3 linked regions of the Kluyveromyces lactis genome follow. The main gene of each other region encodes a partner of the protein of the gene in region 2 in a complex. Links are inferred from orthologs where the notes say so. Each region holds a gene or a part of one and is shown on either strand. Other genes may lie near its edges. The genes, in order: RPB4, RPC10 and RPA34.

Evidence for each region.
Region 1: RPC10 (region 2) and RPB4 share a complex: the UniProt entries of both Saccharomyces cerevisiae proteins name them as parts of the RNA polymerase II (Pol II) complex. The link is inferred for Kluyveromyces lactis from reciprocal best matches to the Saccharomyces cerevisiae genes RPC10 and RPB4.
Region 3: RPC10 (region 2) and RPA34 share a complex: the UniProt entries of both Saccharomyces cerevisiae proteins name them as parts of the RNA polymerase I (Pol I) complex. The link is inferred for Kluyveromyces lactis from reciprocal best matches to the Saccharomyces cerevisiae genes RPC10 and RPA34.

Annotation. Positions count from the first base shown.
Region 1 is NC_006037.1:539,795-542,329, reverse strand, and holds RPB4 (DNA-directed RNA polymerase II subunit RPB4), read left to right. Parts: upstream 1-1,409; coding exon 1,410-2,012; downstream 2,013-2,535. Other genes in the region: serine/threonine protein kinase YAK1, read right to left, coding at 1-785; KLLA0_A05775g (glycosyltransferase family 15 protein), read right to left, coding at 2,062-2,535. UniProt on the Saccharomyces cerevisiae protein: DNA-dependent RNA polymerase catalyzes the transcription of DNA into RNA using the four ribonucleoside triphosphates as substrates. Component of RNA polymerase II which synthesizes mRNA precursors and many functional non-coding RNAs.
Region 2 is NC_006040.1:683,594-685,789, forward strand, and holds RPC10 (DNA-directed RNA polymerase core subunit RPC10), read left to right. Parts: upstream 1-1,404; coding exon 1,405-1,617; downstream 1,618-2,196. Other genes in the region: BNI5 (Bni5p), read left to right, coding at 139-1,137. UniProt on the Saccharomyces cerevisiae protein: DNA-dependent RNA polymerases catalyze the transcription of DNA into RNA using the four ribonucleoside triphosphates as substrates.
Region 3 is NC_006037.1:552,833-555,389, forward strand, and holds RPA34 (DNA-directed RNA polymerase I subunit RPA34), read right to left. Parts: upstream 1,156-2,557; coding exon 571-1,155; downstream 1-570. Other genes in the region: transcription factor TFIIE subunit TFA2, read left to right, coding at 1-466; rRNA-processing protein LAS1, read right to left, coding at 2,448-2,557. UniProt on the Saccharomyces cerevisiae protein: DNA-dependent RNA polymerases catalyze the transcription of DNA into RNA using the four ribonucleoside triphosphates as substrates. Component of RNA polymerase I (Pol I) which synthesizes ribosomal RNA precursors.

The sequences.
Region 1 (2,535 bases), on a different chromosome or scaffold from region 2:
TTGCTGCTTAATGAAGCACGTCTATATTTCGGTGTGGAATGTATAACGGGATTCAAGTCCTGTCTCGTAAATATCTTGTTGAATTTAGGGACAATAATTATTGGAGAAGGTGGCCTTGACGACGGAAGTGAACTTGAGCCGCCACGCGTGCTCATGTATGCACCTGCAGTAGCGGGATACACAGAAGAATTTATGGAGCCAGCCATATATCCCGCAGTATTAATTCCAGGTTTCCTAAGCTGAGATGGTTTCGTTACCTGCTGTGGCGAAAGTTGACTGCCACCAGTGACAGCAACCGACTGCCTTCTTTGTGCATCATTATAGTTGGGAAACGGTTGCTTCTCATAAAGGAACGGATCAGGCCCTGCCGCACGCGCAGGTGGTATTACTAAAGATGAGTTTCTCCTTCTGAACTGTTGTGAGGATTCATCTACAGCGTTATCTTCTTCGTAAGTAGTGGGCAAGGGGAAGTTGGATTGCTTCCTCATAGTAGACCTCTGAGACTCAGGTATCTGGGGAATCTCTTGCCATGGGTTTTTGAATATCGATTGACGTGGCGACTGCATTTGGAAACCACCAGCCGCATTTCCGCCTTGTTGCTGCCCTGCATATATATTCCCGCCTGCATTGGAGCTACTCCCAGCTGGCCCATCAGGCGCAATCTCTGGGCCCTGATTCTGGGTATTTGCCTGCGTCTGAGAAAAGTTCTGGTTCTGATTCGAACTCGACGCTCCCTGCTGAGAAGCCATGAACGCAGGGTTCCAAAGGCTATTCTTATCCCCCATTTATTATATATCAGATTATAGTCAACGTCTAACCACGTTATTGCAGCAAAATATTAGAAAAGCCTCTCTTCCAACAAAGAAATGACCAATTCACAACTCAAAGTTTCAACGGAAATACCTTTTAAACGTTATATCGACTGAATAACCCTGAGTTTCGCTTAAAGAACTTATAGCAAAACAGTAACAGAAACAAAACCAGCTAAAGAATGTACGCCTTCCTATATTAAAAAACAGCTAAATTCGAATCTGGCTATACCTAATCACGATGAGTACCAAGTACATACAGCGCTGCCCTAAAAATAAGCCCTGGTGTCCTGTACAAACAAACAGCTTTGCCAAGATTCACTTTAATACCTTAAATACAGAGAACATTCATGTCATGAAGTCATAGGGCCAATATTCTGATGTTGAGTTTTCGCATAATTACCGTTAGGAAAAAAAATGGAAATTCAATTACGATTAAAACGAGAGGTAAACTAACTTTGTCACTCGAAACATCAACTGGAGTTACATTTATCTAAGTTGTACCGTTGTCAAAGTGGCTGATTACTGGAATAGCACTTTTTGTGATTACACTCGTCTACTTTTTTGGACCGCTCTTATAGATAACAGCTCGAATTTACCATGAATACATCTACATCCACTGTTCAAACCAAGAGACGTGGGTTGAAGAAGTTTGTTGAAGAAGAGAATGCTGCCACTTTACACTTGGGAGAAGAGTTTAATTTGAAGCAAATCAACCATCAGGGGCAGGAGGAAAACCTAGTGGCTTTAAATTTGAGTGAGTCTCGTTTGATTATAAAGGAAACGCTACAGAACCGTCGGAAATTATTCAAGACATGGGCAAGCAATGGTGCATCAAATAAGGACGATGACATGGATGATGAAGATAACGTCAATGTGCATACCCAAACACAGGAGAAAGAGTTACAGGATATAGATAGATTGCTTGAACAGACCACTGGTGGACAGAATCAAGCGTTGAAGCAGACCATGATATACCTAACGAATTTTTCACGTTTCCGTGATCAGGAAACAGTAACCGCTGTATCACAGCTTTTATCATCCACAGGGTTGCATCCATTCGAAGTGGCGCAATTGGGTTCTCTATCGTGCGAAGATGCAGATGAAGCCAAGACTCTAATTCCAAGTTTAGGAACCAAGATATCTGACGAAGATCTAGAAAGAATCCTAAAGGAATTATCGAATTTGGAAACTTTATACTAAAACCTATGTACTATATCTTATATATATCCCCGGTTTCACCTCTGCTCCATCATCTAATAAATAGTTTGCCGGCACCGTTTTTCCACCATCTCATCAAGCAACTGTTTGGGTGGATGGGAATATTAGATTCGCCGTTAGGATCACACATACAACGGAGCACTAATCGTGCTGATATGGACGTGGGACATGTTTCAAATGGAACATGGCTGTATCCAATTTCATCAAAGTGGTGGATTTCATTCTTGTCTAGAAGTAATGAGGCACCTATACTGTGCACGGGTGCATCACCCCAACGTTCATAATAAAACCCACCCTTGGAGTCCAAGTAATTGAAATACTGAAGATACTCGTCACTTCTAAAGAAATTTAGATCTCCAATTTCGAAATTGGACCAGAAATGACATAGATTATAGTCTGTATTCGAATCAACAACAGGGAAAAAACGTCCCACCATCGTGGTATCCGTCAAAAAGCTTAGACTGTTGTTAGGATGTAGAATTTCTGGATAAGTATCCATGAATTC
Region 2 (2,196 bases):
GAAAAAGGAAACTTCCAGTCACCAATACGTGTATGTGTTAATAAAAGGCGTTTGTACTAGTAGTTGACGAGTTGAAGCGTATCAGTGGCAGAATAAAAGTGTCACATTGTTGATAGTGGCGTCCTATTTTTTTCAATTATGGATTCAGAGCAGGTAAAGAAACGAATGTCTCAAATTGAGTTAGAGATAAGTGAGATGAACGAGATGATAGATAAGAACTTGAGCATTCATGAGACCACGGTTAAGACGAAACAGGATGTTTCTTCTGACGATCAAGATGAGGATTACTTAGAGTTGCAGAAGCTAACGGCGAACCAGGTTGATCAATTTGTGCAGAATGCTATTAAAAGCGATGGGGAGGACGAGGTACCGGAAACACTAAGTAGTGGCAGAGAGACGGCACTACAAGCGGAAGAGCGAGAAGACATAAAAGAGGAGAAACCAGGTACTCAATTAGAGGCAGCAGTAGTGGCAGAAGTGGTGGCAGAAGTACAAACTGAACCAACTGCTGAGAAAGCTATTCCCGCTGTTTCCGTAACCTCTGTTCCAGCGAAGAGAATACCTTCTGAGAAGATCGAAGTCTCCACCAGCACAGAAGAGGATGAAGCAGCAGCAGCAGCTACGATTGTACCTAACACTGATAAATCAAGTACATACCCTGCTCCTGCAGCAATCGGCCATACTCAGAACGGAACCGTCCCTCGTGCACCAAACACTGACTCAAGCAACATACCTACTTCACCACGTATACTCACGCCGAAGAGCAACCCGTTCCGCGTAGTACATGTTGGTAGCCAACCAAGCTCCCGTAACGCATCGAGAAACAGCTCTAGGGTCTCAAGCACTTCCTCAGATATTTCAGACATAAACTTTGAACAATTACAGCAAAATTACAACTCACTCTCGGTCAAATGTACCAAACTACAAAAAGAAATCGATTACCTCCACAAATTTAAAAACGAAAGTACCTTAACGCTCGAAGACAGACGCAAACTGATCACTGCCATCGAAAAATTGCAAGAATACCTCGACAAGAAAAACAAACAACGTTACGATACAGGTGTAATATTATCCCGTCAAATAAGGAAAAACGTAGATATGGGGGCCAATGGCCAATTTTGGGTAGGAAGGTCGTAACCTGGAAATCTCGTACTACATACATACATACGTTCATTCGTGTCTATATAAATGTGTGTGTATTTCTATGCATCCTTTAAGTATTACCCTACCGTGTATTTCCAAAAGAAATTCTTCTGACCTTAGTAAGAAATTTGAATTGACAAGCTCATCATAGGAATCAGAAGCTTTGACTGAAACATACTGTCTCGGATACGAGAGTTATCCTCCGATAGTCGAGTCAGTGAGTGCGTTTGTGGCCCCAATAGTTTAAGAGTAAGTGTCAAGATGTCCCGTGAAGGTTTCCAAATCCCAACGAATTTAGATGCTGCTGCTGCTGGTGCAGCTCAGAGCAGAACTGCCACTTTGAAATACATCTGCGCAGAGTGTTCAAGCAGACTTTCGCTTTCCAGAACTGATCCCGTCCGTTGCAAGAATTGCGGTCACCGTATCCTACTCAAGGCCAGAACCAAGAGAATGGTCCAGTTCGAAGCCAGGTAAACCTGTTCCCATTCCATCACATAAACTATATGCATATAAACTATATATGTATTACAGCATCTTTCCTGTATGTACATTAATAAACGTTGACATTTAAACGTTTCTCAATTGAAACACGACTACATGGGCATCGCTAGTCGACAGACGGATGTCCGAAGTCAGCTGGGGTTATACCGGCTAATCACACTGCGCAAAATTCCTTTTTCTTTATGTGATGGAAAATCTCTGAGAAAACTTTATGATTTTGGGCAGCTTCACCATCTAATTTTAAAATCAAAGAATAACGTCACCGTTAGATTTGCATATATCCACTTCCAAACTGAAAAGACGAAGTTTGACGGACGTTTTGTGGACCATTTGAGCTAAGGCTTGATAGGCAACTGTTTGGTGTGATTAGTGAAGAGAGAGTGGGTGCTTTGAACGGTGCCAATATCTGCTTTTGCGTGTATTATCTTGTTTGTTGATTTTGGTGTTTAATTGAACGTTTCTCTCCTCAAACACAACAAAGGATCAGTGCTTTTTTTTGATAGAATTGAAGTCTTTTGCGAGGTCAAAAAGCTGTATCTTAGGTTCTTTGTA
Region 3 (2,557 bases), on a different chromosome or scaffold from region 2:
GAACACTTTACAGTACGTATCCATTTACGATGTGCATTCTGCGGAGGAATTGCTACAACTATTAAGATCACAGGCGACGTTCAAGGGTATATCATGTAAAGAGTTAAAAGATGGTTGGCCACAATGTTTTGATACAATCGACGAGTTAGAAGCAAAGAACAGAATCCTTGTTCTTCGGACAAAGAAGGATAATTCTCCAAGGTTTGTCTGGTATAACCATGCTGGTCCATCAAGGCAAATCGATGAAGAGTTCGTTACGATGTGGGAAGCTTGTAAGCTACCTCAGCGTAGTGAATTACCAAGAAAACTACAAGATTTGGGTCTCAAGCCTGCTAGTGTGGATCCTGCTACGATCAAGAATGAGCAAACCACAAGGAAAGAGGTCAAGAAACGTAGATCAAGAAAGGGTAAAGTTACCAATACACATATGGCTGGTATATTGAGAGATTATTCCGATAGGGTATGAAGATACCTACTTTTTATAATGAACGTATTCTACATATAACCCAAATTAAAATATGACCAGTGCGTTATATATAAATAATATACAGAAAGACCAGAACGAGTGCTCTAGTCGTGCTTTCTCTTTTTTTTGCTAACTTTCTTCAAATCTTTATCCTCGTAATACCCAGTTGCGAAATGTCTAGTCTTGAGACCCTTAACCTTCAACACATCCTTTCTATCCACTCTTACCTTAGAATAATCAATGCTTGGAATCTTTGCAGTTTCGCTTATGGTAAAGATCTTATCAAATGATCTTGATGCAGATGAATCGACGGTCAACTTTGTCTTATCTACAGGAGTCAATAATGTCAATTCAGAAGAAGAAGATGCACCAGAAGTGGAATTTTCTTGTTGGATTTCCTCCTTCACAGAGAAATGTTTACCTTTTTGTTCGATGCCAGTTTCCGACTCCGCTGTGAAATCAATAGGTAATTTCGAAAGCTTAGAGACATCTAAAGATTTAGGAAGTTTGATAAGCCAAAGTTCTTTTTGCTTCAAGTTCTTAGGCTTCACGAATGATTTCAAATGTGTACATTTCTTATAGTTTTCAGGTGGAACGAAAACGTCCGTTACAGTTTCTGATGATCCATCATTATCGCTGTCGCTATCACTGATGTATTCCTTTGAAAGAGTTTTGTCGACCTTGGCCATTGTTTGAGATATTTCTTATAACGTTTTGCGAGTGGAATAATATTACAGGGAAGGGTGTAACAAAAACTCACCTGAACTAGTTAAACTGTAATTGGAACCCTAGGACCACACAGAACCTCACTTATCTGCCTCTGTGTGTCTATTTGAATCTGCAATGAGATGAGATGAGCTTAAACCGAATTTTTTCATCTTGGGAAAGACTTTTCTTTCTTTTTAGACGTTACCCGGGAAAATGCACGTGGTTAACACGTGGAACAAACTATCGTATTCATGAAATCTGTTCCAGTTCATCACAAACCATCGAGAAATGGTATGTCCGACTTGAACAGCCTTCGAGCAACATTTATTGGATCACTAATACTATGATTCCCGTTGAATGGTATGACATCGATGCCCTAAGTACTTGGTTTACTGTATTATCATGTCGAACGACGCAATTATTCCAAAAATTTTTTCCATGCTTCTTCGACACGAAGAATATAAAAAGGCTGGTAATGAGAAACAAACTAGACATGTTAAACTCATCAAACCATTTATCCAGGTTAGGTATTGAAAAGTTCTGTAGGTTGTTCTCTAGCCTCACTTGCTGTTGGCAAGTGAGCTTTATAGTATCCTTGATGGAGCAGTGTTTCACAGCCGTGAAACACTGATTCGTCTATGTTACGCTTGGAAAAGAGACCTTTTCCATGAAGAAATAAACGTAAAAGTTTGCATATACGTGGGATTCATTATTACTTCATACCTTACGAAAGAACTTCAAAACATTTAACGATGATGAAAACGGTCTACACTTCTTTCCCAGTCCGATATCGACCATGACGATATGGGAGTCTACCATGTTGTTGTCTTACGGGGCAACGACTTTTTAAGCCAGTACATGCTTTGACATGTACAATTTAGATCATCTGAGTTTTCTCTTTTTAGTTTTCTTAAGGTCAAAGTAACAGTGAAACAAGATCCATCGTCGTATCTTCTGTTGCATTTATTTCTTCAAAACGTTTCACTTCTTCTTTTTAGCTAAGAACATGATTGTGCGTTATGGATTTTAACATTTTTTTATATGATGAAAATTGGTTCCTTTACATTCGCAGTTTCCACGGTAGGAGTACGCCTACGAACCCATCGTTAGTACTCTTCAGTGACCGCTCTTTATTGAGACCTTCCTAGGATGTCTGATCTTTTTATATGTTATTATCCATTTCCATTTTCAATCCTGTTATCATCGCAGAACCTGTAGAACTGTCAATCTTTCTTGCTTTGTCTTATGTATCTAAAAGGCTTAATTATACTAATTACAAAACGCCAAATGGTCTAGGCGTCCACTCGGTGACTTCTTGCCAGTTGGAGATGGGGGCATTGCTTTGTTTGATCTTTTTGAACTGATTTTTCAATTCATTCAAGT